Linked DNA regions of Ovis aries. The protein of the gene in region 2 interacts with the protein of the main gene of each other region in a pairwise test. Links are inferred from orthologs where the notes say so. Each region holds a gene or a part of one and is shown on either strand. Other genes may lie near its edges.

What was found.
Region 1: the proteins of SF1 (region 2) and RBM17 interact in binary tests that used the Homo sapiens proteins (3 or more experiments, as listed by UniProt). The link is inferred for Ovis aries from reciprocal best matches to the Homo sapiens genes SF1 and RBM17.
Region 3: the proteins of SF1 (region 2) and RBPMS interact in a two-hybrid assay, tested with the Homo sapiens proteins (3 studies listed by BioGRID and IntAct). The link is inferred for Ovis aries from reciprocal best matches to the Homo sapiens genes SF1 and RBPMS.
Region 4: the proteins of SF1 (region 2) and KPNA1 interact in binary tests that used the Homo sapiens proteins (3 or more experiments, as listed by UniProt). The link is inferred for Ovis aries from reciprocal best matches to the Homo sapiens genes SF1 and KPNA1.
Region 5: the proteins of SF1 (region 2) and ATXN1 interact in binary tests that used the Homo sapiens proteins (3 or more experiments, as listed by UniProt). The link is inferred for Ovis aries from reciprocal best matches to the Homo sapiens genes SF1 and ATXN1.
Region 6: the proteins of SF1 (region 2) and DDX17 interact in binary tests that used the Homo sapiens proteins (3 or more experiments, as listed by UniProt). The link is inferred for Ovis aries from reciprocal best matches to the Homo sapiens genes SF1 and DDX17.
Region 7: the proteins of SF1 (region 2) and SF3A1 interact in binary tests that used the Homo sapiens proteins (3 or more experiments, as listed by UniProt). The link is inferred for Ovis aries from reciprocal best matches to the Homo sapiens genes SF1 and SF3A1.

Annotation. Positions count from the first base shown.
Region 1 is NC_056066.1:10,877,075-10,881,120, forward strand, and holds the start of RBM17 (splicing factor 45), read left to right. Parts: upstream 1-1,246; 5' UTR 1,247-1,380; intron 1,381-3,494; exon of another isoform or gene 3,495-3,602; intron 3,603-4,046. UniProt on the Homo sapiens protein: Splice factor that binds to the single-stranded 3'AG at the exon/intron border and promotes its utilization in the second catalytic step. Involved in the regulation of alternative splicing and the utilization of cryptic splice sites.
Region 2 is NC_056074.1:39,464,498-39,468,797, reverse strand, and holds the start of SF1 (splicing factor 1), read left to right. Parts: upstream 1-1,500; 5' UTR 1,501-1,880; coding exon 1,881-2,289; intron 2,290-3,611; coding exon 3,612-3,740; intron 3,741-4,300. UniProt on the Homo sapiens protein: Necessary for the ATP-dependent first step of spliceosome assembly. Binds to the intron branch point sequence (BPS) 5'-UACUAAC-3' of the pre-mRNA. May act as transcription repressor.
Region 3 is NC_056079.1:25,712,936-25,716,435, forward strand, and holds part of RBPMS (RNA-binding protein with multiple splicing), read left to right. Parts: intron 1-966; coding exon 967-1,005; intron 1,006-2,244; coding exon 2,245-2,307; intron 2,308-3,500.
Region 4 is NC_056054.1:187,775,848-187,779,774, reverse strand, and holds the start of KPNA1 (importin subunit alpha-5), read left to right. Parts: upstream 1-1,127; 5' UTR 1,128-1,194; intron 1,195-1,519; exon of another isoform or gene 1,520-1,647; intron 1,648-3,927. UniProt on the Homo sapiens protein: Functions in nuclear protein import as an adapter protein for nuclear receptor KPNB1. Binds specifically and directly to substrates containing either a simple or bipartite NLS motif.
Region 5 is NC_056073.1:39,996,763-40,000,262, forward strand, and holds part of ATXN1 (ataxin-1), read left to right. Parts: intron 1-2,933; 5' UTR 2,934-3,093; coding exon 3,094-3,500. UniProt on the Homo sapiens protein: Chromatin-binding factor that repress Notch signaling in the absence of Notch intracellular domain by acting as a CBF1 corepressor. Binds to the HEY promoter and might assist, along with NCOR2, RBPJ-mediated repression. Binds RNA in vitro.
Region 6 is NC_056056.1:216,001,639-216,005,138, forward strand, and holds part of DDX17 (probable ATP-dependent RNA helicase DDX17), read right to left. Parts: intron 2,101-3,500; coding exon 1,950-2,100; intron 1,506-1,949; coding exon 1,406-1,505; intron 825-1,405; coding exon 691-824; intron 386-690; coding exon 320-385; intron 1-319. UniProt on the Homo sapiens protein: As an RNA helicase, unwinds RNA and alters RNA structures through ATP binding and hydrolysis.
Region 7 is NC_056070.1:69,352,954-69,356,453, reverse strand, and holds part of SF3A1 (splicing factor 3A subunit 1), read left to right. Parts: intron 1-468; coding exon 469-543; intron 544-1,542; coding exon 1,543-1,693; intron 1,694-2,042; coding exon 2,043-2,236; intron 2,237-3,077; coding exon 3,078-3,195; intron 3,196-3,458; coding exon 3,459-3,500. UniProt on the Homo sapiens protein: Component of the 17S U2 SnRNP complex of the spliceosome, a large ribonucleoprotein complex that removes introns from transcribed pre-mRNAs.

The DNA.
Region 1 (4,046 bases), on a different chromosome or scaffold from region 2:
AGTGTCTACATGCTTGCAGTCAGCAGTTCTCATCTGGCAGAGGCTGCTTCCTGTAAAAACAACCTAGGGACGTGTGTCAGACCTTTATCGTTCAGGGCCCTGGGAAGTGAGTGATTCTGCTCTGTGGTGGGTTTATAGTATAAATTGTTACCAGTTTCCTGGCTCAATAGCTATTTTATATCTTCACATTTCCCAGTCATTAACTCTTGAGTCAGCCGTTTGAGACTTGGGGAGGCCCGGGAGATTAAGCAAAATCATTTTACTTCAAAGGACAGGGACCTAGGGTTTGTATATGATTTCAAATATAGACGAGAAAATCGCATTGACACAGAATCCTATTTTCTCTTTCGTCCCAAATTTTGTCCTATCGTTTTGAAATCATGAGGCTTTATAACATGTACCGTGTATGTATACATGTATGTATACGTATATAACATGTATCCTGTAACTCTAACTTCATACCCATGATTTTCTTATCCCTTCCCTTGTGACTCAGCTGGTAAAGAATCCGCCTGCAATGTGAGGGACCTGGGTTTGATCCCTGGGTTGGAAAGATACCCTGGAGAAGGGAAAGGCTACCCACTCCAGTATTCTTGGGCTTCCCTTGTGGCTCAGCTGGTAAAGAATCTGCCTACAATGCAGGAGACCCAGGTTTGGTCCCTGGGTTGGGAAGATCCCCTGGAGAAGGGAAAGGCTACCCACTCCAGTATTCTGGCCTGGAGAATTCCATGGGCTATACAGTCCATGAGGTCTCAAAGGGTCAGACACGACTGAGCAACTTTCACCTCACACAGTTAATTCAGCACCCCTGGTCTTGTCTTTTACAGCCCTTTGGCCATTCATCTCTCCTACTATGATTTATCTTTAGCTTTGTGCACACTGATGATGAACAGTTTTTTTTAATATAAATTTATTTATTTTAATTGGAGGCTAATTACTTTACAATATTGTATTGGTTTTGCCATATATTGACATGAATCCGCCACGGGTGTACATGTGTTCCTCATGAAGCCCAAATTTGTAGCCCTCCTCTCCGCCTGAGGTCAATGCCAGGCTCCCGGGTCTGTAGCGTCACAACCTTTTGCCATTGCGACCCCTCTTGGCTGCAGAGGAAATCTCTCGGCTCTGCGGGCGTGGTCCTCCGGACGGCAGGGGGCGCACGGCAGCAGGGGCGCCCTCAACGCAGGCGCCGGGTGCCTCTCTTCCGGCCGTACGCGCCGTGACCCCGCGCCGCCGCGCGTCCCGCGAAGTCTGCGTAGGGGTTGGCGCCGGAGCGGTGCTGCGGTCGGGGGCTGACGCCGAGCCCCCAGCCCGCGGTGTCGGCGGCGCGTCGGCCTCGGTGCGCCGCCGCGGCCCGGGATCGTCGGCCGGGCGGGCCGGGTAAGTGGTCTCTGGGGCCGGTGGGCGGGCGTGGGCCGGGGCCGGCGCGCCTCCTCGGGCGGGCGTCGCGACAGGCGAGGCCGCGGCTTTAGGCCGCACCGCGAGGGGCGCGGGGCGGGGGTCCTGACCGGCCCCGCGCCGCTGGCTGCCCTGGCCGCTGGCAAGCCTCCCGTCTTCTCTCTCTCCCTGCTCCCCACGTCCTTTATGTGCCTCGGCTTGCAGGGCCCTCGCACCCCTGCTCTCCCCTTTTTCTTCCTCGTCTGTTTGCTCTGGCCTTGTGTCTCCTGGACCCGAGGGCACCTTTCCCTCTCCTGTCCCCTCCCTCTCGCTGTCGGTCTGTCCGGGAACAGCTGTTGGTCCCTTGAACCCAGTAGCCGGGGCCGCCGAGGAAGGAATCCGTTTCCGCCCCTGGCTTCGAATCAGGTGTGGCCATCCCTCAGAGACGAGGGTTTTACCTGGACGAGGCTCTGGCACTGCCTCGGACCCTGTCTTTTCTTAAAGCGGTGTTTTAGCTTCGATATCCAGTCACAAAGCGTTTTTTGTTTTTTGTTTTGCTTGAGCGTTTCCTTTTGCCCAGGTCATGTTTAGGAACAGCAAATAGTTAGATCAGTAAGATTCTGTCTCTACGCTCCCGTGAGTTTAGTTTCCAGAGAAACAAGTGTAAAAAGCCACGCCTCGGTCGGTCTGGAAAGGCTTCCTAAGGAGTGAGGCGTGTAACTGAGCCTTGGGGGTGTTTTGTTAAATGTGCAGGATGGGGGAAAGCTTCCTTGCAGAGGAAATAAGGGTAAAGGTAGCGGAAGGGAAGCACCGTAGTGCATTCTGGAAACTGCAGGAAAGGTAGATAGTGTGAACGTGGGTAGTCAGGTCAGATCAAGACGGTTCTCTGAGAAATCAATGGAGGAGGGTCCTGGGAGGTGCTTATTCCTAAGGGCAGGCAGAATAGTGTATGGTGAAGTCGCTCAGTCGTGTCCGACTCTTTGCGACCCCGTGGACTGTAGCCTGCCAGGCTTCTCCGTCCATGGGATTCTCCAGGCAAGAATACTGGAGTGGGTTACCATTTCCTTCTCCAGGGGATCTTTCCAACCCAGGGGTCGAACCCGGGTCTCCCGCATTGGGGGCAGACGCTTTAACCTCTGAGCCACCGGGGAGGCAGGCAAGTGGGTGGGAAATAGGATATTCTAGGGGAGGGCAAAATTCTGGACATTCTCAGGTAGGTGCGGACTGTGTCTCCCCTCAACAGGTGGAGTTTTTAAAGGATGCAGTTCAGTTTCCACAGTTCTGTGAGTTAAGGGCCACAGGCATTTTGACTATAGTGAGGATATTTAGGCGATATGGGATATTACATTAGTAACTTAAACTGTAGGTGATTTATTTTTAGAAGAAATAAAGCAAATGGTATATACTAAGAAATGTGCTGTGTGCTGACTGACCACTCACTGATATATTTAGAAAATATTTAAAAAGTGCTTAACAATGTCCCACGCAAGGTGCTCAGTTGGAGATATAAAGATGAAGACAGAAACATCCCTTAACGCCTTGAGGGGTTTATGATATAGTAAGAGACAGACATGTCACCCAGTGGAGCCTAACAAGACGTGTGTTCAGGGGGTAGCTGGTTTTATGTGAGGTTTGTTGTCAGCAAAGGCTTCAGAGATATACTTAAAAGATGAGCACATGGGGTGCTGCTGAGAAGACGTCTTCCTTGTTCTTTTTTGCTAGTTGCACGTGTTTTAAAAAAAATACTTCTCTAGCTTGGGTAGAATCTTGAAAAGTCATCATTCTTCCAGAAGAGCTGTGTTTACCGTGTTTCTTTTTAAGTAAAAGAAAAAGCATACCTGGAAGATGTGTTGATCAAAGGCTGATGTTACTATGAAAACGAAGTCAGTAGTGAGGCGGTATTTTAAAGAGGTTATGAAAATCAACTGTTTGTATTTCCATTTGGTCCTGGCTTCCTAAGATATATTCAGATGTTAGAAAGTGCTCCGTTTTTATTACCTGCCACCAGACTTCATGAAATAAATGTGTTGTATCATCTGAAAGACATCTGAGCATTAAGCAGGTGAAGTTCAGGTCCTAACAGAGTCTTGTTAGTGCGCTTGTTATTTTCAGCGTTTGCCGCAGAGAGGATGCATGAATCAACTGTGACATAGTTACAAGTACTCAAGGCAGCCACAGTGAAGATACATGCGCCTTTTAAGGAATGCATGCAGCAAGCTGTGTCGGTAAGGTGATGTAAAAGGAGGAAAGGAAGGAGTTAGCATGGGGTTCAGGCTGCTGCTGGGCCAAGGAGATCACTTGGGTGGATGGGATGGGATGGGGACCATATGGGTGGAGGGTGGTCTCTTGTCTCACTGGTGCTTGTTGCATTATAGTAGTTACTTAAAGCAAGTCTTACAAGTGCAGGTGGGTAGAGCGTGTTGTTGCTGTGGTCCATCCAGTTCTATGAATTTGAAGGTCTGTGGAGAGAAAAGTGAAGAAAGCTCTTCTGCCTTTACTGTGATGAGATCTGATGTGTAAGCTCCGAGGTACAGAAAGCTAGCAGATGCTAGTAAGGGGGCATCACTTTGTGATATTTAAGGTATGCTTTTGAAGGTTCTGAGGACAGAAACGGGGAACTTTAAATGAACATAAGATTTTGCTGCACAGTGACTTTCGAAGCTTGCAGA
Region 2 (4,300 bases):
CTTACCCACTGGACTACCAAGGAAGTTTTGAGAGGTATAATTTTAATAGATAATAGAATGCTTTTCAAAAAAGCATTCAAAGTAGTAACTTAGCTTTTTTTTTTCCTGATTGTTGAAGACGTCTCATATCACTTTTAATTTGCATTCATTCTTAGGAGATTGGTACTTTTCATATTTTTGGCTATTTGGATCTGCTCTTCTCAGGCTTGTCTATTCAGTCTTTGCTCATTTTCTGTTGTTTTTCTCTTTTATTTTTTTAAGACTTATTTCCATATTACAGATATTAGCTCTTTATCATATGTATGGCAAGTATACTTGCCTAATGTATTACTGTTGACTTTTATCATAGTTTCCTTTGGTAACTAACTTTTGTTGTTTCCTGTCTTCATAAAGTCTCTACCCCTAGATGACTCCGACAATCTCCTAAATTGTACTGTGTCTGTTCTATTGTTTAAATTTAGGACTCTATAGGGCTCAGGGGTTAAAGCTCTGCCTGCAATGCGGGAGACCTGGGTTCGATCTCTGGGTCGGGAAGATCCCCTGGAGAAGGAAATGGCAACCCACTCCAGTACTCTTGCCTGGAGAATCCCACGGACAGAGGAGCTTGGTGGGCTACAGTCCACGGGGTCGCAAAGAGCCGGACACGACTGAGCGACTTCACTTCACTTTATACCATTTACTAGCTAAATCTTTTCCTTACTGAATTGAAATGCCATTTTTTTGGTTAGACTCTATCCTATTGTACTGTCTTTCCTACAACAATACCACATTGTTTCATTAGTGTGTCTTTTCTATTGTATTATTCGGAAAGGCAAGCTCCTCAACCTAGTTTACAAATTTCCCCACTATTTTCAGTTATTTTATTTGACTTAAAAGATGATCTAATCAATCTTAACTTCGCTGGGATTCTAATGAAAACGCACGGTATTTTTGATAACTTCATATTGCCTTCCACTTAAGATATGTGTACCTCCATGGGCTCGGTACCGTTTTTAATCCTTCTTCCTCCCACTTTTTATTTTTTTCAAAAACAGGAAGTCCTCGTTTACCTGTGTTGTCGACGGATCCGGTTTACCGGTCCGCGCCAGCCCCTCCCCCACCCCTCGGTTCCGGGTTACCATGGGACTCGAGGATTGACGTCACCAAGGGCTTCCGCGCCGGACCCGAGGGTCAACGCTGAAGCCAGGGACAGAGACACGGTTTTGCCCCATCTATGCATGCCCGCTCCTGTCCCGCTCCTCCCCGACCCCAATTCTTGTTCCGCCAAGGCTTTCCCGCCGCGACCTCTAGCTTAAACCCAGCGAAATTACTCCCCGGGGAAAAGGAGCAAAGGAAAAAAAAAAAAAAAAAGAACCAGCGACAGCCAATCCCAGGACATTACAACGCAATGGAGATTGATTGACTACACCAACCCAGCCAATGGGAGAGCTCTTGGCCCCATACGTCACAGAGTTTGCCCCACCCTATCCCTCCTTTCTGGACTCCGAGCTCCGTTCGCGCAGTAACAAATGAAGTGCGCGCTGCGACACCTCCCAGCTCTTCAGGCTCGGCCGCCATTTCCTCGCCTGGCCTAACGGTCCGGCCAATCCCAGCGCGCATCGAGAAAAGCTAAGGCTCCACCAATCGGAGGCCGCCGATTCCGACCCTTTGCCTCCGCTCGGCCCAATCCAGGCCCCGGCCCCGTCGCCCCCGATCCGCCCCCGCGGCGCTCTCTCTCCTCCCTCTTTGTGCGTCTCGCGCCGCCGCCGCCGCCCCGCCGCGTGAGAGAACGGGTTCCGCGCGCTCCGCGGCAGCGCAGTCGGGTCCCCTCCCCCCAGAAGATTCGCGAAGAAGAAGCCGCCGCCGAAAAGGAGCCGCCGGTGCCGGTCCCTGGGGGCGCCATGGCGACCGGAGCGAACGCTACGCCGCTGGGTAAGCTGGGCCCCCCAGGCCTCCCTCCCCTCCCTGGCCCCAAAGGGGGCTTCGAGCCGGGACCACCGACTGCCCCCGGGCCTGGGGCGGGGCTGCTGGTGTCCGGGCCGCTGCCGCCCCCGCCCGTGGGCTCGGTGGGGGCCCTGACCGCGGCCTTCCCCTTTGCGGCGCTACCGCCGCCGCCGCCGCCGCCGCCGCCGCCCCCCCCGCCTCCCCAGCAGCCGCCGCCGCCACCGCCCCCCTCCTCGGGCTCCTCGTACTCGCCGCCGCAGCCGCCCCCTCCGCCGCCGCTCTACCAGCGCGTGTCGCCACCACAGCCACCGCCACCCCAGCCGCCGCGTCAGGACCAGCAGCCGGGCCCGACCGGCGGCGGAGGAGGTGAGTCGGGCCGAGAGAGCGCGCGAGGCGCTGCGCGGATGGGCCCGGCCGGCTGAGGGCCGCGCGGCGGCGGCGACGGCGGCTGCACGCGGCAGGGGCGCGCGCGCGCACGGGGAGGCCCGGGCGGCGGAGCCACGGGGCGCGCGGCCTGGTTCTCGGGCCTCGAGTGCGCACGCGCCTCAGGGGTGGGGGCCCGGCGGGAGGAAGTTTGTTGCGCGCAGGCGCAGTTTGGCGGCCGGGCTTTGTGGCTGTCCTAAAAGCCGGGATTGGGGGGACCCCTTGTTGCTCTCTGCCCCTGGTGTTCAGGAGCGGGTGTGGATAGGGGATCGAGTGGGTGGTTGGGGTGCCTCATGTGCAAGTCCGGAGGGCGGAAAGGGTCGACTGATGACGTGGAGCGTCCTCTTCCTGGTTGTAGTGGAGTCCTAAAGGAAGAAAGTACCAAGAGAAGCTCCTTAAAACTTCTTTAATAAGACAGGGCTTTCACTTCAGAACCAGAATGGATGAAAGTCTTCAGGGGGTGTTTGGGTCCGATTTTTTTGTGGCCCTTTTTGGAGAAGGATGTTCCGTTCGTTTCCATATCTCACTGTATCTACCTAGGAAGTATGACACGCCTCCTCTTGAGGCTTTTCCGCTGGGTCTTGCTCCTGAGAAGGCGCCTTTGTGTATCAAACGCCAGGAAGTTTCTGCTTGTGTACTGGGGAAGAAAGATTTGGCTCTTGTTGTATAGCTTGTTCTTTGTTGAACTTGATACATTTTTTAGACCCTAAGTGTCCACCTGGCCAGGAAAATGCTGACCTTAGCCAAACCTCTGAGGAGAAAAGTGATTTTGCTGAAAAATCCAGGTTTTTCAGTTGATAACCATAAGTTTAGTTGCGTTTTGTCTCAGGTGACTGGTGGGGAGGTGGGAGGAGCCAGAAGTTAACAATATTGCTTTATACCCTTGAATATTCAGTCTGCTCTTATGTCCTGGGGCTGTTAAGAGGTTTATGGACACCATGTGGTATACTATTATCTCAATACTTTTTTATTTCACTACTTGAAACTTTATGCACTGAGATTTCTTGTTTACATATTTCACAACATTTCTGTGGACAAAAATCATAAATGTGCCATGTTAACTTTTCAGACCCAGGTCCCCTTCTAGTGGCCATGTCTTTTGACTTCCCAGGTTTGTCTTCCATTCTTTGCTGTTTCTTTTTAGGTCAAGTTCTCAGTTTCACGGTCTGCTGAGGTTGTGTGTAGTATAATAAGTATCCTAAACTGCTTGTTGGTAGTTACTCTGCTGGTTTATCTTTGCATCTGACGAACCTTATCTCTTTTAGACTTCCCCAGTAAGAAGCGGAAGAGGAGCCGCTGGAATCAAGACACAATGGAACAGAAGACGGTGATTCCAGGAATGCCTACAGTCATCCCCCCTGGACTTACTCGGGAACAAGAAAGAGCTTATATAGGTAAATACACGTTCTGCACTCAAATGCATTTTCAGATCGTTACTGAACATTTTATTTGTTGAAAGTTTGGGACTTTACAGTTTTCTCTTTGAGAGGAGCTATGGTCAGATGACTTTGATGTAATCCATAAGTTTTTGCTCTGTGAGTCCTGCATTTGTAGCTCCTTGTTTTGGTCTGTTGGTAACAGCAGTGTTCTCCATGAGTGCCAGAAGGGTAGAGGGGCCTGCTTAGGAATGAGAATAGTTCCCAGCCCAGCACCCCACCCCACCCTTTTCAGCTGCTGTTCATTACCAATTGATGAGGTGAGTGTTACATGCCTCTCTGGACTTGGCCCCAGTGGAGAACACTGCAGGTATTGTAAACCAAGTACCTTTTTCACAGCCTGGCCTTTCACCATAATTTCATATTCCTCCTTTCCCTAAAATGTGGTCTTTTATTTTTTTATAGGTACTTTGTGAAAGGGGAAAAAACTCAGTTTAATCAAAAAGTGGTTCTGAAAGTGTGTTTACCCCCTTTTACCATTTTGTTGAATTTAACCTTTCCTTCAGCATCTTTTCTGG
Region 3 (3,500 bases), on a different chromosome or scaffold from region 2:
GGAAACCAGGAGGGATCAGAAAGGGAGTGAAAGGGAGTGTTTCCATCTTCCTTGAGGATGAGCTGGAGTAAAACCCAACAGGGAATTTTTGCATCTCCCAATCCTAATACCAGCATGAAAACAGATGGCTGCAATAAATAAGCAAAATAACAGAATTTAGCATTACTGCCTGTTTAACTTTTCCAGGCAATTTTGAAATTTTCATTGACAAGTTCTACTAAGTACACTATCAGTGTTTTGTTGTTGTTTTACAGCAAATATATTTTTCAGTGTGAACAAGTGAATAAGTGTGAACAAGTCATCACATACTCTACTTAACTGCCTTTCTTCTGTCTCTTAATTGTGTCCACATCTTTGCCACCCCATGGACTGTGGCCCGCCAGGCTCCTCTGCCCATGGAATTTCCACGGAAGAATACTGGAGTGGAGTGGCTTTTATCCTATGTATAAAATGGAAAAGACCTTCTGTTGACATAGATACCGTTTTCCAACTGTTTCCCAATTGCATAAGAACATAGAAAAGAAACGTAAGAGAGTGAGTTTCAGGGCTTGATCTCTTTTAGGCCCAAGTGTGGGCTTCCCAGGTGGCTCAGTGGTAAAGATCCACCTGACCGTGCAGGAGACTTGGGCGCTATCCTTGGGTCGGGAAGATCCCCGGGAGTCGGAAATGGAAACCCACTCCAATACTCTTGCCTGGAAAATTCCATGGACAGAGAAGCCTTTCAGGTTACAGTCCAGGGGGTTGCAAAGAATTGGACATGACTAAGCATACAGCACATATATATATATACTTAGGCATATACATTGTGTGTGTGTATAAAACTTGTTTTATAGTTAACAGACATTTGTAGGAAGAGTTGGTCAGTGGTCATAAAGGACTCATTGTCACTTGAGCAAGATGGTATTACAATTGCTTTTTTTCCTGGCGTATTGTTTTTGTGGTCTAAATCTGGTTCTTTATTTTCAGGGCTACGAGGGTTCTCTTATAAAGCTCACATCTAAGCAGGTAAGCATTTCAAACTTGCACATAAGTGATGACTTATAGAATAAATTTTGATTGACTTTCTTCAGGAATGTCACAAGGGCTCAACATCCTTTTTTTTTAAATTTCCATTAAGATTTATTTTTTTATTTTTTTGCTCTAAAATTAAGGGTGAGATCAGTTAAGAATTAGCAGAGGAAAATGATTCCTAATTCCAAAGCCTCCAGCTAGAGTGTCTGAGACTATCCTCAAGGAAGGCAAATATAATGCCTCCAGCATGGTTATATTGGGATTGATCTGTATCTTCAAAAGAAATTATTGTCTAGATTCACTTTTACTGCCAATTTTTTTTTAAAAATACAGTTAAATAGTCAGACTTTTCATTCACAGTCAGTATGAGAAGTTGATGGTAAAGAATCAGGCTCTGTCTCAAACCCTTAATAACCACATGCAGAGTCTTAAGTCTAGAATGGCGCATAAAAGGCACAGGTGCAGAATGGAGGTAGTAATCAGTGACCCTGATAGCGGCTTCAAGGGCCTTGAAATGTTTTGGCTGTGCTTTTTTTTAATCCTGAGCAACCGGCATCTCACTTTGGGTCACTTTTCGTCTCAATACAGTATTCTCTGGTTCATCAGGAATAGGCTGTGTTGCAACTATCCTTCTGGACTCAAAGATACTGAGTCCAAAGCAATTAGGAGTCCTCTCTTGAGTTGGAACAGTATGGTTTACACACCTAATTAAACACAGAACTTTTTAAAAACATCCCTTGGGATTTGAGATTAAAATGTTCATTATATAATTTTGATCGTGCAGTGAGACTACAGGGCTTTTATCACTGTGTCATTATATTCCTTGCACTTACAGTGTACCAAAAGGTGATTCGGTTCTCTTTGCATTTTAAACGATGAAGATGCTGAGGTACAGTGAGTTCGATGTAGGACAGTAGAGTCCCTCCACCCAAGTTTCCCTCTGTTCCCTGGTTCACTGCTGCTCACCTTCCAGCCCCTTCTAGACTTAATTTTTTTAATGATTCTCTAAATCTCCAGCTGTCCCTTGAAGAACCACCCTCACCATCCCTTTGATCCATGTTAGAAATTTGGCTAAGCCACTGAGTCATGATTCTTCTGGACTGGCTTTCTGATTTCTGCCCATTGCCTGCGGTCATTTCTTTATCTGAGCTCTTTGGTTTGATGTCATCTTTGACCCAGAAACAGAGACATCCCCTGATATTTTTTTCTTCATATTTCTCTTTCTTTCCTTAGCCCGTAGGTTTTGTCAGTTTTGACAGTCGCTCAGAAGCAGAAGCTGCCAAGAATGCTTTGAATGTAAGTACGAATGATGTTCATCTTCGGGGGTTTCCTTATGAGGTAAAGGGAAAGTAATAGAACCTCTTTGGACAGGAAAGCAAATGGAAGGGATATGACTACTTGATCTAAGAGGAACCGACTCTAGTTAGCCGCATAAAGAGATTTTGCCTAAAATTGTGGTTAGATGTGCAGACTATTAAATAACACTTTGCTCGTCTCTAGCCCTTACTGTAATGCTCAAGATACCTGATGCTGGGGATTTTATTTTAATTCAGCCCAATCATATCCCATGGTGGTGTGCAGTTTACTTCAGCCCCCATTATATCCTCAGTGGCTAAGCCCAAGTCAAGAATAGAGAAAGATCTTGGCTTTCCTTAACACAGGAGGCTTTTAAGTTGTTTGGCTTTTAAGGGCTTCCCTGTCTGTCCAGTGGTGCAGACTCTGTTCCCAACGCAGCAGGCACAAGTTCCATCCCTAGTCAGGGCTGCCTAAAAGTGTATTGTTTAAAAGGTATGTGACTTTAAAAAAAAGTTGTAGTCTTTATTCTGATTGATTTAAAATTTGCATATACTACTTCCCCAGAAGACATTCAGCATTGTGGTGTATAATAAAGGATTTCCTTCTCCAGTGCATGAAAGTGAAAAATGAAAGTGAAGTTGCTCAGTCATGTCCAACTCCTAGCGACCCCATGGACTGCAGCGTACCAGGCTCCTCCGTCCATGGGATTTGCTAGGCAAGAGTACTAGAGTGGGTTGCCATTGCCTTCTCCGATAATAAAGGATAGGCAACTACAATTGAGTAGAGATAACCTGTATTTGGTTTGAAAGCATTTTGTTTCCCATATTTTTAAGACTTTTTACCAGCTTTAATTTAGTAAGATTTTTTTCCCTCCCTTTGGTATGTTTTTTTTAAACAAAAACCAAAAGCAATTTAAGGGGAATCAACCCGGGACAAGGTGGTAGGAAGCAGAATTTAGTTCTGGGCGCCAAGGCCTGATCCAGGTGAGGCGTCTCAGTGAAGAGCCTGGCTCCATCCCTCTCCAGACAGTTGACTTAAGCGGCTATGAATGAGGTGTGAGTACAGCTGCCAGGAGTGTTGGAATACTTCTTGGAGGGTCGGCTTATGTGAACTTGTGGCTGTGGGTCCTGAAGGTGTTCTCCCAGCTGTTTCTCGGCGCCTGGAGGCCCAGGGACCCTGTGGTGAGGGGGGCT
Region 4 (3,927 bases), on a different chromosome or scaffold from region 2:
TGATTGGAATAAAGTGATCTGTCCTTAGCTCAGTGGTGGTGAGCTAAGTCATGTCTGACTCTTTTGCAACCCCGTGGCCAAGTCTCCCCCTTAGAACACATTCCCTTTCACCAGGGCCCTTGATCGAACTCAACACATCCTAGAAAACACACTTTAGTGGGAAACACTGATGTGGCAGAAAGACATCCAGGACAAATGAACACTGCATCGTATGGTCCTCTCTCCCGCTCTAATGTTACAGAGTTATCCCATTTCTTCCACCCTGCTTCTCCGTGTGTGTTTTAGGTTGATTTGATAAACCGTTATATGTGAGACTTTATATTCTGTGACCTCTGCTTGGCTGCCTTCAGTCTTTCTTTAGAAGCCACTGCTCAAAAAGAATCCCCCAAAGAGAATTCCGTCAAATTTAACAGTAAATTATTTGCCCCAAATTTTCGTTGGAGAACATTTGTTGAGAGTAAAGCCAGCGTTCATGTTTCGTTTAATTCCTTAATGAATTCTGATACTGCTCAGTGCATTACCAGGCAAAGCGGGACGGGACAGAACCAAATATGATATAGCCCGAAGTTTTCTCAAACGTGCTGCACGTGAACGCCTGAGCCATGAGGCGCTGACTTATAACTCTTGTAAAAATCCCTCAGCCTTCATTCATTCCATCAACGTGTTCTAGTTAACAACCGTGTCAGTGGCTAGCTATAGACAGGTGAGCGAAGATCGACCTGCCGCCCTGGAAGAACTTCGAAGACAAAACATAACTTTGCAATTCAGCCTAAGAACTACCGTTTCATTGTCACTCCAGCATGACTCTCCAACCCTTGTCATTAACTGCCCACCTTCTCAATCGGACCTTCTCCCGGACTCCAGACTCTCTCCACTGGTTCCCAGCTAACCGCCAGAGCCTCCAGAGAACAAGCTGAAAGACTACATCTCCCGGCAGCCTCTGCAGCAGAGTGGTGGAGAGGAACGCGCAAGTGCGCGGCCCGGCCCCCGCGCGCAGGCGCACTGCGAACGCCGGCTGAGCTAGGTCTCGCTGTGCTGGGTGCGCGGCGGCGGAGGCGACGAGCGAGGCCTGGTGAGCACCGCGCGGCGAGAGCCGACTCTTTCGAGGTTGTGTGTAGAAGACGGACGGCAGGCGAGCGAGCGAGGCAGAGGCTCACCCCAGAAGTGGCACCGGGATCGGTTGCCTTGAACCTGGTGAGTGCGGGGCTGTGGCGGCCCCCGACCCCTCCCCCTCCCGCCGGCCGATCCGGCAGTCCTCGGCGGGACCCAGGAGAGGCCCCGCGGCGAGGGCCGGCCGCCGCCTGTGCTCGAGCTCGGGTTCCTGGGCCTGGGCACTCGCGGCGCGTCCGTGCGTCACGGGCCCGGTTGTCCTAACGGCCGCGCGGCAGGCGGAGGGGACGGTGGGGGTGGGGAGCGCTGGTGTGTTCGCCATCGGGAACGCCGGTGGAGGCGAGGCGGGGCGGGGCGGGGCGGGGTGGCGCGGCAGCCGGGCTGTAAGCGGCGCCGGGGACTGCGGGGCGCAGAGGCTGCGGGGCGGCGAGGAGGCAGCGCGGAGCCGAGCAGGCAGCGCGGAGCCAGCGCCGCGGCCCCACGCAGACGGGCGTGGGGGCGGGGGTGGGCTGCGCAGAGTGTGCGTGACTGAGCCAGGTGAGAATAGGGGATGGGGGTGTGTGTAAAAACCCTAACTGAGGCAGTAGGGAACGGTCTGGTCTCGGAAATTGTCAAGTTTCAGCCAGAGCCGGAGGTTCGGGGGAAGGGGCAGGGGAGTGGAGACGGCCGACTGCAGTTTACAGATGTCATAACAACATGGGCCTGAAGCGGCTGACAGGGGTGTGGTAATTATAGGAATGACAGAACTTAGTCTGCACACAGCGTGTGTCAGTGGTGATGCGAGAGAAGCTCAAAATGGGAGGAGAGGACTGAAGGATGACTGGAGTCCGGGAAGCCGTCATGAAGGAATGTTTTCGGTTTGAATGGAAGTATTTAATGTTCGGCTTCTAAGCAAACGATGTCAAGATAATTGATTTTTAAGGTTTAAATTCTGAATAAACAGTTTGGAAGTAATTTTTCTAAGCATACTATTAAATAACATTTCTAACTTTTCAGTCCTCTTTTCCTTTAATAAACACTTCCTTAAAAACCTGTTTCTTAACAGTAGATGAGTAAGTGATGTTTCCCTTCATGTTACTTCAAGGCTCATTATTTTTTTTTTTTTATTTTTTTTTTTTTCAAGGCTCATTATTGACATTTTCCCCTTGTTCTTGCGTTTGTAATATTTTGAAAGTAATTCACAAGCTATTCCCCTTCCATTTTAAAGATTGAAGAGATGAAATTTTAACTTCAAAGGAAAGGAAGGATGAACTCTGTTGTACTTTTACTGAAATAGTTTATTCTTTGATGGCACTGTTGTGTTTAACACGGGGTTTTCAGTTGGAGAACTTGAGAGAAGTTAAAGGGGTAACGTTTAATGAACTTTTTTCCAGATACTGTGCTAAATACTTTCTGTAGAGTAAAAGGTTTAATGCTTACAGTAACTTTGAAGTGTGTTATTTTTTTCCTTTTCTACAGATTAAAGCTTTGAGGGTTAGAGAAGTTAAGTAACTTACCTAGGTGTTGCAGCTCTTGTTAGAACAGAATCACTGACATTTTAGGAATTATTTCTCCTCTCCTTTCATACTTCTTGGTTGTGTTTTCTTTTTTTGGTCCATTCATATGCTCAGAGACTGGGGATGTGGACATGATCAAGACATTGTTCCTGTCCTCATGGAATTTGTAGTGTTGCAGAGAAGACTAATAGATAAAGACTATAAATATTGACTGCGTAAAATTTTATCGGTCATTATAATTGAGCGGGAGCTGTACTAAAAAGCAAAGGAAGTTCAAATGGAATCAAACAACGCAAGCCTTGAGTGTTTACAGTCTGGTAGAGAAGCAAAACATGCATTTATGAAAACCTAGACTAAGCTAAATGATAGAAATTAACACATCACCAGTGTACTTGCATTATGTTACTTTAGATCCTTATAGAAATTCCTTCACAGAACTGTGAATTAATATTTTGTACTTTAACTTTTATCTAGGATTGGGACATGAGAAAGGGAACATGAAAAAACTCTTCCTTGCTACCCAAGACACTGTTTATAATTTATTTACTGATCCTTATAAAGTATAAACCTTAAAGACGGGTTCTTTTAAGCCCTCAGTGACAGGCCTTTTTGATTTTTTTCTTTGCTTTACAAAAAAATTTAAACAAATGACTCTTTTTATTAGATCATTTCTATTCGTAAGCCATCCTGTTTGTCTTTATACTTTGGCTATTAGGAGGCTCAGAGCTGTGATCAGCTTTGGTAATTTTCATAATTTTCCTTTGCTTTAACTGTGTTATAAACTATACCAGATAGTCTGGAATTGCTGCTCTCAGTTGTTTCCTGGACTACTTGTTCTCTGTTGCTCTCAATTTTATTTTTACCTTTTCCCTCTCATTTGAGAGTAGGGTTTATTTATTTTATCTGCAGTATGTTAGCATAATGTTTGTTGAATTAATGATAAAGTCTTGATGGTTTATGAATTTGTTTTTAAGTCTGTCATTGTTTATAGAAGTATGTGTGCTTTGTATAAAATCAGTTAAGACTTTTGGCCATGCAAGTAAAGGTGACTGACATAAAGATAATTCCCTGTTAGATAAAGATAATTCCCTGTTACTCTCTTTAAGGTTTCTGTATTTTGCAGGGTATTCTGAATTCAGCCATAATAATGGAAGAAAACATTGAAAATGGTAAACAATTCAATTAGCTGATTGGAGCTGATTTCACTCTATTCTTGCTGCAGTAAGCAGGAGGTGGCCCCAAGCCAGCTGGGAGCCAGATAGGACCTTCATTAGAAAATTTTTAAGTCTTTGCAGTGACAGAGCAGGAATGAAGACTGATG
Region 5 (3,500 bases), on a different chromosome or scaffold from region 2:
TGTTGCGGCAGGTGCATCCGGAGGCACACGCCTTGTCTGGGGGACTCAGGTGAACGAACCATTGGTGTGTTTCAGCACTGAAAAGGCAATTAGGGACATGAAGCCCATTTGTCTGCAGCTAGAAAGAAGCCCTAAAAGCAGACATCCACTCTCCTTTCTTCTCTTCTTTCCTAGTCTCTCTCTCTCTCTCTCTCTCCCTTTTCCCTCCTGTACTTTCTACCTTCATAGTTTTATCTCTGTTTTTTTTTTTTTTTTTTTCATCCCGTGAACCATCATCCAATGTACCAGGGACACAGTGGCGTCCTGTGGTGCCCTCTCGTGGCTCACTGAAAATATAGCTAGACACAGTCCCTACTCTCACAATGACTTCCCCTGCTGAGAGATACGGACAGCACAGAGAGCCAATGAAGCGCAGAACAGGGACACGTGCCCCAGAATTACAGTGACCCACGTCTGTAGCTGCACTGGTAAATAGGAAACATGGTCCTTCTAAATGTAGGAGGGTGAGCCGAAATTTATATCAGTCTGGCCCCAGGGTTGCTCCAGTTAATCTTTGTATCCTTGACTTAGTGTCAGTTATTATCTGGAAAAGATGTTTATCAATGGACCACTTTTCAGAAGAGTGCATTTGAATTTGTGTGTTAAGGCCGATATGTTTTAGTGGTCCATTAGCAGAAAAACCAGCCATGGAATCTATAATGAGATCTTTAAGGCCAACAAAGCCTCCCAGTGTCTCTCAAAACAAACAAAAAAACAGTGTATATAAACCAAGGCACTGCTAAGAACCAAGTCAGCATTGTTTTTTTCAGATTCACTGAAGCTGAGTTCTGTTTTAAAAAGTACCTTCAGAGGAGTTTTCTAGTTTTGTGTATGGTGTGTTCCATTGTGCAGCAATTTCACATTTGCATTGCTAATGGACCTCTTTGCAAACGTGTTTGACATTTTGCTTGGCTTTGAAAGGACTTTTATGCTGCTATTTTTTCCTTCCCTAGAGCTGCCTTGGGCTAATTAACCTATTCCCTTACTGGCTGGGCTGCTATATGCAAATACTCTCATTCTGGATTCTGACACACTACTCTTACATGAACATCCCTAATGAAATCCTGTGGGGTTTTATTGGAGCAGTGCTACTGTGGGGCCAGCAGGGGGCGCATGGAGCAGTTCACGTTGAGTCCATCTCCTAAATCACTTTCCTTTGCTAGTCCCAATGGGAATGCCAGTTTATGTTCTCTTTCTTAGAGTAACTTGAAACCTAGAGATAAAAGATCGGTATCAACACTTTTTAAGCAGTCAAAAGCGTCAACTGTTTTCAATTTTGGTAGTTTAGTTTTATTCTGTCGTTTTGAAAACAGCACTGGCATCTCAGTAGATTTGTATATATTAGGTGTAAATTACATGCCATGAACTTCCTAAGAGAAGGCTATACCTGGGGCTTAATAAAGCCGGAGGTTGGGAGGGTAATGCTGAAAACTGCTGCCTTATTTTGTCTGTTTTAACATCAGACTATAGAAAACAGGTCTGGGTAGGAGAAATGCTAAAACCCAGGACCTGGAATTCCCAGAACCTGATTCAGCAACTTTCCAGGATCACAGCACAAGACTGCTGACAGCCTGTAGGCAGCCCTCACATCTGCCTCCTGTTAGCCTAGTTCCTGTTGGTTCCACTGATGATCTGCCTCTTGCCAGGTGGACATCTGTCTGCCTACACAGTTCTGGTAACAGAGTTCGGTGGTTCCCAAAAGACTGAGATAGGTGTCCATGAAAACTGGCTCCCTACTTGTATGGCCAGGTTGAAACACACAGGCCTGATTGGTCTAGCAGAGGCTTCATCTCCAGGGTTCATGGTGGACTGGCCCTTTCCAAGAAGAGGGTGGAGAGTATGGAGAGAGAATTCAAAGAGCACTTGGAAAGGAAGTAAGAGGCAGAGATGAAGCAAGCATGTTGCCCTCATTAAGGACACCCTCAATGCCTGATTATTGCATTTTTAAAAACCAAACCATGTTCCTATTTTGACTGTCTCATAGATTCCTTTTGGCTGTTACCGTATGAGTAGCTGTACTGGGAGCTGTTTGGAAACGTGTAGAGAACATAATTATTTGGGGCTGCCTCTGCTCAGTTGGCCTGTATATAGTGTGTTTGTTTATGTCTGTGTGTGTGTGTGTTAGGCAAGAGAGAATTGTTGTAAATCCAGTATGGACCCAGAGTCACTAGAATCTTTGAGTAGTGCCTATGGCAGAGCTTCCCTGATAGCTCAGCTGGTAAAGAATCTGCCTGCAATGCAGGAGACCCAGGTTCAATTCCTGGGTTGGGAAGATCCCCTGGTGAAGGGAAAGAATACCCACTCCAGTATTCTGGTCTGGAGAATCCTATGGACTGTATAGCCCATGGAGTCGCAGAGTCGGAGAGGGCTGAGCCACTTCCTACTTTCACTATGGCAGAGGACTCAGATAAGCTATGAAATCCGCTGGGGACTTCCCTTCCTAACCTGGTCCTCCCAGTGCCTGGCTCAGAGGAGGGCTGATTGTCACTGGTGCCATCCTCCCTGTAGGCTTCATTTGATCCTCCAGAGACTGGGTAAAGATACAGCTGAGGAGTGGGAGGGCCATTTCTGGGAAGGAAACTGAGAAATGCATTGTTTGCCCTCCAAAAAGAAAAAGGGGCAGGGGAGAAGGTATTGAGAGAGATATCTTAGAAGACTTACTAAACCCATAAAAAAAGGTTTGACTTGCTCCATGGCTTAATGGTCTTCCTGATGTCCTACCCAACACGGCAGCGTTTTACCTGCTCTAATAGTGGGGCTGGCGGCAGGATTTTGGGGGATTCACATCAATCTCGCGGGAGGGTGTTCTTTTCCGGTGTTGATGTTCTGACGCCCTGTTCCCCCACCCCCCACCCCTTTCTCCCTCTTGGTCCCGACCCTCTGCCTTTTCCCAGATTCCAGAGCAGCTGCTGGAGGATCGCACCCACGGGGAGATGATTCCTCATGAAGAGCCTGGATCCCCTACAGAAATCAAATGTGACTTTCCGTTTATCAGACTAAAACCAGAGCCAGTCCGACAGTGAAACGGTCACCGTGGAGGGGGGACGGCGAAAAATGAAATCCAACCAAGAGCGCAGCAACGAATGCCTGCCTCCCAAGAAGCGCGAGATCCCCGCCACCAGCCGGCCGTCCTCGGAGGACAAGGCAGTGCCCAGCGACAACCACCGCGCGGAGAATGCGGCATGGCTCCCCGGTGCCCGGGGCCACGTGGGCGGGCGGCTAGGGCCGGCGGGGCCCCCGGCGGAGCTCGGTTTACAGCAGGGAATAGGTTTACACAAAGCGCTGTCCACGGGGCTGGACTACTCCCCGCCCAGCGCGCCCCGGTCCGTCCCGGCGGTGGCATCCACCACGACGATGCCCGCGGCATACCCGCCGCCCCCGCCATCCGGGGCCCCCGTGTCCCCGGTGCAGTACGCCCACCTGCCGCACACGTTACAGTTCATCGGGTCTTCCCAGTACAG
Region 6 (3,500 bases), on a different chromosome or scaffold from region 2:
TCTCATTTTACACCTTTGTATCCCTCATAGTATCAATGGGCAATTAAGCAATGCATCTGTATTAAATGCCTACATATGAAGGTAACAGGCACAGTAGTTAAAAGGAAGACTGATTCAAATTCCAGCTCAGCAATTTAATTACTGTCTGACCCTGGGCAAGTCACTGTGCCTAAGATTTACCAGTAAGACAGTATTTCCTCCAGATATGGAAGGTGGGGTTGCGAATGAAATCTGAGAACACATGTAAAGTACAGTGCCTGAAACATAATAATAAACTGTAGTTATTTTTCGAAGTATACACAAACTGAAATACACTTACAATTGGGCCATCTCCTCTTTCCAAATAAGGCTGGTGGTTAATATGAACAATTGCAGGTAGCAAATACTGGAGGAGAAAAGAAGGACAGTCTTATACCAAAACTAAGCCATTATATTAACTGTTCTAAGTTATCACAGTAATTGATAATGTCTAAGTAAAACCAGGAAAGGGAAAACAGAATTCACATCTCTTACATATATATGCAACGCAAATATGAACATAAAATGCTTCCACATATTTCAGATAGCTAAAAAGCTGAAATATTACTTCCACTATTTGAATTAGAATTTTATGCACTGAGAATATATGTTAATATACAACAGCAAAATAAGTTACCACAATATGAAAAGTCTTCCCTTGTGGGTACATACCGCCAACGTCTTCCCAGAGCCAGTCTGAGCAATGCCCACCATATCTCGGCCACTAAGAGCCAAGGGAAATCCCTGGCACTGAATTGGAGTTGGTTCTGTAAAGTGCTGATCCATCAACACATCCATTACGTATTCTGTACAAGAACAGATATTATTGCTTTTAGGTAAAACTAAGAAGCGAACCTACAGCCAAAACAAATTATACATCTCTCCAAGAGAAGCAGTAGTTTTGTCTTCAGTTACTGAAATTCAGTTATTTGACCTGCTGACTACTTCTCAAGAAGGCTACTGCCATAGCCATCTACCCTTATTCTCGAAAACTTGAAAACCATTGGTCTAAAGTATCTAAGGTACAAGGCATGGGCACCTAATAGCCACCTACTGCTTATCTAATCCAAATTTTATCCAGGTAGAAAGCAATTTTATTTTGCTATTTTTCTGAAATGTAGAGGCAAAACCCCAAGGAAAGATGAAAACCAACCAACCAATCAAACAAAAAACCCTGCAAAAGACCCAAAGAAGTTCTAAACTGAGAACACATGAGCATTAAAAAGACAACTCCCCCTGCCAAAATACTTGAAGAACTTTTGTGAAAGGTTTCTGTTTGTCTTTTCAACAAAATCCTGAGCTGGGTCAAAACCTTTAAATAACTTATGAGCACAGTGACCATTCAAGCTAAATTAACAATTAATATACTGGACTGAAAAGCACTTACGTGGGAAGTTAGCATGATGGAAGGCAAACACAGGTTTAGGACAAACATCTCCCCCTCTCACTGTAATCTCTTTCTTTCGGCGTAATTCATCAACCTCATACTATTTAAGAAACAAAGTAAGACAAATCAGTAACCAATTTATTCTAAACGTGCAAAACTTTATGTTCCAATATAGCATAACAAGGATCAAATTCACAATTACAATGGAAAATATGTTTAACACTTCTTACAGTGTTTTTCATGTATGTTCAACTTCACCCAACTTTCTAAGTCAACGAAGCATGCAGTAGGTTTCATTTTCCACATGAGAACAGTTAAATGAAATATAACCAACGTATGAGAATCAAGTGCTTTCTCTTACAAGTATCAGCTTTCCTAACAAGAACCAAAGAAAAATCCCCACCACACCAGAATAAAAAATACAAGAGTAAACTTTGTGTATATATATATATATATATGTATGAGTAAACTTTGGCTAATTTATCTACTTGGTTCATTACTGTACGTCAAGAAAAGGTAAATAAATACCGCCCCTAAAACTTACTGGAGTCAGTCTTGCCACTTCTGGATGTTCGACATAAAAATTCTTCTCAAACTTGGGGAGCTCACTCAAATCCCACTTCTTTTTACGTAGACGCTCCCCAGGATTACCAAATTTCTTTGGGGGAAGGCCACCACCACCTCTTGCTCCAAATCTAGAAACATCAAAATTTTCAGTTTATTAGTATTTTTAAAGCAAAATATTTCAGGTGCCATAAAAACATGCAAAAAGATACAACTCTTAAGATACTACCAGCCCCCTCCAAAAAATATTTGTGTAAAGTACTTAAAATAGTATCTGCCATAGTAAACAGTACAAATTGACATAATTGTATTCATTCAACAAATAGTTACTGGGTATCAACTATAAAGTGGTGCTAGAAATACGCGGGAGCCTGGTGGGCTGCCATCCATGGGGTTGTACAGAGTTGGACACGATTGAAGCGACGCAGCAGCAGAAATACTAACGTGAACAGAAATTGCTACTCTTATGTAATATTCTGAAATGAAGCTAAGTGAGGACATTAAGTTTAAATTAGGGCAAAACTATGGACAGGTAGAAAAAGTTATCTAAGGTCTTTAAAACAATTTAAAAATCATTCTTTTCGCTTTATCTTGCTTTCACAACAAACAAATTCAACTGGAGTACAAATATGGCCATTAGCCAAACTTGAAATGTTCTGTTTCCTAAGAAGAATCCTAAGATGGTCTTCATTTCTGTATTTCAACCTATTAAAAATGCAGGACATTGTTTTGGTGTACAAATACACAATGTTTTCATCCCATTTCCTTAACCACTACACCAAATTTAATTCTCCTTTTCTACTCTAATTCATTCATAACATCATCTTACAAGTGGTTCCACTAGTTTACTACTCAACAGGCAGCAGATGTACTAACCATTCTAAAGCACATCAATTTCCTGGAACTCAAAATGCTCTTAAAATTTCTCGGCTTAAAGAGCCAGCTAGATATTTCTCTAAATACAAATATACAAAAACTGATGGCAGGAAATTTGGGACCATTACGTATTTACATTCAAAAAGACAGAACTTGGCAGATTCTATTTATATTACTGTTGATCAATACCAATCAACACCTTCAATACGTCCTTAGGCTTAAGACCAAATAGGAGACTGACCCCTCCTCCCTCCCTCTTAGGTGAAGTAACTAACACAGTTCTATCAATAAATAAGGTTCTCTACAAATAAAAAAGCCAAGTCTTTAAACTGTCAGTCTTGCAAAGAAAAATGACCAAAGACTAACTTTCAGAGGTTGGCTGCCTAATTATGTGGTTCTTCAGAGAAGACCCTAATGCTGGGAAAGATCCAAGGCAGCAGACAGGGGAGAGAGAGGATGAGATGGTCGGATAGCACCACTGATTCAAAGGACACGAATTTGAGCAAACTCTGGGAGATAGTGAGGACAGGGAAGCCTGGTGTGCTGCAGCCCACAAGGTTGCAAAGAGTTGGACACAATTTAGTGACTGAACAACAACATACGTGGTTCCTAAAAAATGCCATTTCAATGCTGCTGCTGCACTCCAATATTACTC
Region 7 (3,500 bases), on a different chromosome or scaffold from region 2:
GTGAGGGGGCAACATGCAAGTGCACCGTTAGTGTGTGTCCAGGGGTGATAAACACCGTGGATAAAATGCTCCAGAGAAAGCAGGGCGTGGAAGTCCAGGGAGGGGGAACCTGTGGGCTGCAGTCTTCAGCAAGGTCGCTGGGGATCCTGGGGGGCGTGTGCAGAAGCAGAAAGGCAGACCCGCCCCGGGGGCAGTCACTGCATGCTGACGGTGTGCGTGGTGATCTGCGGGTGCTTTTGCTTTCTCCCTGCGAATCCTCGCAGCCTTTTAAGTTGACAGTGCCACCTTTAAGTGGCGGTGTCACCGTTTTGTAGAAGCGAGCCAAGTCACAGAGGTAAAGGCACGTGCCTGGCGTTGCCCAGCTAAGGAGGTTGGTCCCGTGATCCCGTGCTCTCCCTTCTCCTCCACAGGCCACTCTGTCCCGGGTTGTGCTGCACCGACAGCTGCTTCACCTTTTCTGTGTTTCAGATCTTGATTCCACCCAAAGGCTTATTTACCAAACTCAAGAGAGAGGCAGAGAACCCCCGGGAAGTTTTGGACCAGGTAGGCTGACCGTCTTCCTTTCTTCTTTTCTGACTGTCTTGTTCTTTGTGCCTGTGCTGGGTCCCGTCACTTGGTGCGGCTGCCTCTGCTTGTGGTGAGCGGGGGCTGCTCTTTGGTGCAGCGTGGGGGCTTCCCGTGTTGCGGAGCACAGGCTCTGGACGCATGGGCTTCAGCAGGTACAGCACATGGGCCCTCCAGTGCTCGGGCTTAGCTGCTCTGAGGCATGAGGAATCATCCCAGATCAGGGTTCCAACCCACGTGCCCTGCGTTGGCAGGTGTGCCGCCAGGGAAGTCCTAAACTGCATTTTTTACGGCCAGTTACTAACAGCACAGGTCCCAGCGTGTGGGTCCTGCTGTGTGTCTGCAGATGGTCTCTGAATCGACACCTTAGTCGTGGAGGGAAGAAGGGCACTGAGGCTGCAAAGACCAAAGAGACCTGGGTTCCCTGGTCCCTAACTTGCCACTCTCCTTTTCACTTCTGTCGGTCTCCGGTTTTCTTCTCTTGCTAGAAGCCAGCTTTTGAATGGGTTCTTGGGCGACAATTGCCCAAGTCCGGTTTTGAAGTCCGGTTTTCAGAGTCAGGAGACCAGGTGTGTTGATGCTGGCAGTTCTGGGAGGCTGCTTGAAGCCTTCTGTTGTGCAGGCGGTCAGGCTGCCGCAGCTCCTGTGGGCACATGGTTGTCACACAGACTTCCTGGGAGGGAGGAGTTTGCTCGCCACCCGCCAACACAAGCAGAAAACTTTGAGGTTCTAACAGAGAGCTGCCCTTGGGGCCCAGACAAAGGTCTCTGGCATTCAGATTTTCATCCTGTCCAGACTCTGGGCCTGGCTAAAACCAGATGCAGGTTCCATAGTCTGTTCCAGGAAGTCCCCCTGGTGGGCAGAGCAGCCTCCTGTTCTGAAGGAGACGCTGACTCTGGTGAAGGCCCTGGAGGTGACAGCCTCCTTGGGAGCCAACCCTGATTTCAGCTCAGCATCGCGCCGTTCTCCTCCCTTCAGGTGTGTTACCGCGTGGAGTGGGCCAAGTTCCAGGAGCGTGAGAGGAAGAAGGAAGAGGAGGAGAAGGAGAAGGAGCGGGTCGCCTATGCTCAGATCGACTGGCATGACTTCGTGGTGGTGGAGACAGTGGACTTCCAACCCAACGAGCAAGGTTGGTCTATGACTCCTGTTGGCGGAGCCAGGAGCTTGGCGCCATCGTCCTGGGGGAGTGGGCCAAGCTGTTCCTGGGGAGCAGGCCAGGCTGTCCCCGGGGAGCGGGAGGATCCCAGTGAGGCTTCTGTCTCCTCCTTGTTTCCAGAGGACTTCGGTCCTCCCGCTGCCCCAGTTACTCGCAGTTCAACAGATAGCATTGTGCCCGGCCCTGGGTGGGCCTCTGGGTGTGGGAGAGAGACCAGGTGGCCCCAGCCGTGAGAGCCAACGGCGTGGGGCAGGCTGCCTGACGGGCCTCTGACAGGAGTGTCTGTGGAGCCCTCCCTTGACTCCTGCTCACCCTCTGCCAGGAAACTTCCCCCCGCCTACCACCCCGGAGGAGCTGGGGGCCCGGATCCTCATTCAGGAGCGCTACGAGAAGTTTGGGGAGAGCGAGGAGGTCGAGATGGAGGTCGAGTCCGATGAGGAGGATGAGAAACAGGAGAAGGCGGAGGAGCCTCCGTCCCAGCTGGACCAGGACACCCAAGTACAAGACATGGACGAGGTGTGCTCCTGGGGGGTCTGGGGTGACTCTTCCCTGGAGCCAAGGGCAAAGGGGTGCGCTCCTCCATCAGACTGAGTGTGCCAGCCCCCTCGTGAACCCTGAGAGCAGACCTGGGTCCTGAGTAAGGCGCCCCTTTTTCCAGCTCGGGCAACAAAGATTCCTTCATAGGCAAGGGTCCACGAGCCGCGTCGGCTTGTTTGGTGACCGTCCTCCTCTGCCCAGAGGCCCCGCTCACTATTCCCTCCAGGCTGGCTTTCCTTAGGGAACCCTCTGTCCCGGATACTTGGATGTTTTGAGCCTAGGTCCAAATGATTAACAGTTTCCAGAGCTTTTCTGACTGTAGCTTGTGCTTCCTCTGGGTGCCTCTGCCCCTTTGAGCCAGGCCTCCCCACAGGCTTAGAGTCTCCAGAGCCAAGCCGCTTTCCTCCTCTCGGAAAGAATTTGTGTGCAGCCTGAGAAGAAAGGCCCACGTGTCTGTGGGAATTGACTTTTTCTCTCCCTCCCAGCATTGCTCCTTGCGTGGCTCCCATTGAGCGCTGACTCGCCCTCTGTGGCCCTCCCCAGCACGTTAAGTGCCCTTGGCCTCCTGGGACTGCTTGGTGCCAGCTGCTGGAAATGCCTGGGCAGAGTGTCAGCACCACAGCCCCCAGCACTGCCATTCATGCTGTGAGGAAGCTGCTTGGCCTGCTGCCGGCTGGCCCCGGCTGCCCGGGGAGCTTAGCACAGGGATGCTGGCCGGCAGGGGCCTCGGCTGCTTGCCACCCTGCGAGCTGCCGGGCTCAGCTGCAGGGAGGTGGCTTCTCGTTCCTGCCCTGAGTCACACTACTGCCTTGCTTTTCAGGGTTCGGATGATGAAGAGGAAGGGCAGAAAGTGCCGCCCCCGCCGGAGACACCCATGCCACCTCCTCTGCCCCCAACTCCAGACCAGGTCATTGTCCGGAAGGACTATGACCCAAAAGGTGGGTTCCGTTTTTATGCCTTGTGTCTCTCAGACCTGTGTTTGTTTCCAGGATGGCTAGCGGGGGCTTGTCATAGGCACTGAGAGCCCCTGTGTTGTGGGCCTCACGGCAGGGCGTGGGACTTGGTCATCTGTGGTGCCCTGGCTCAGCACACAGGGCCTGTTAAAGCATGGCACTGCGTGGGCAGTGGAGGGATAAAGCAGCACCCTCTCAACCCAGGCTGCCACCCGGGTTCTCACTCGGCCATCTCTGTCGCCTTTCAGCTTCCAAGCCGCTGCCTCCGGCCCCCGCTCCCGATGAGTATC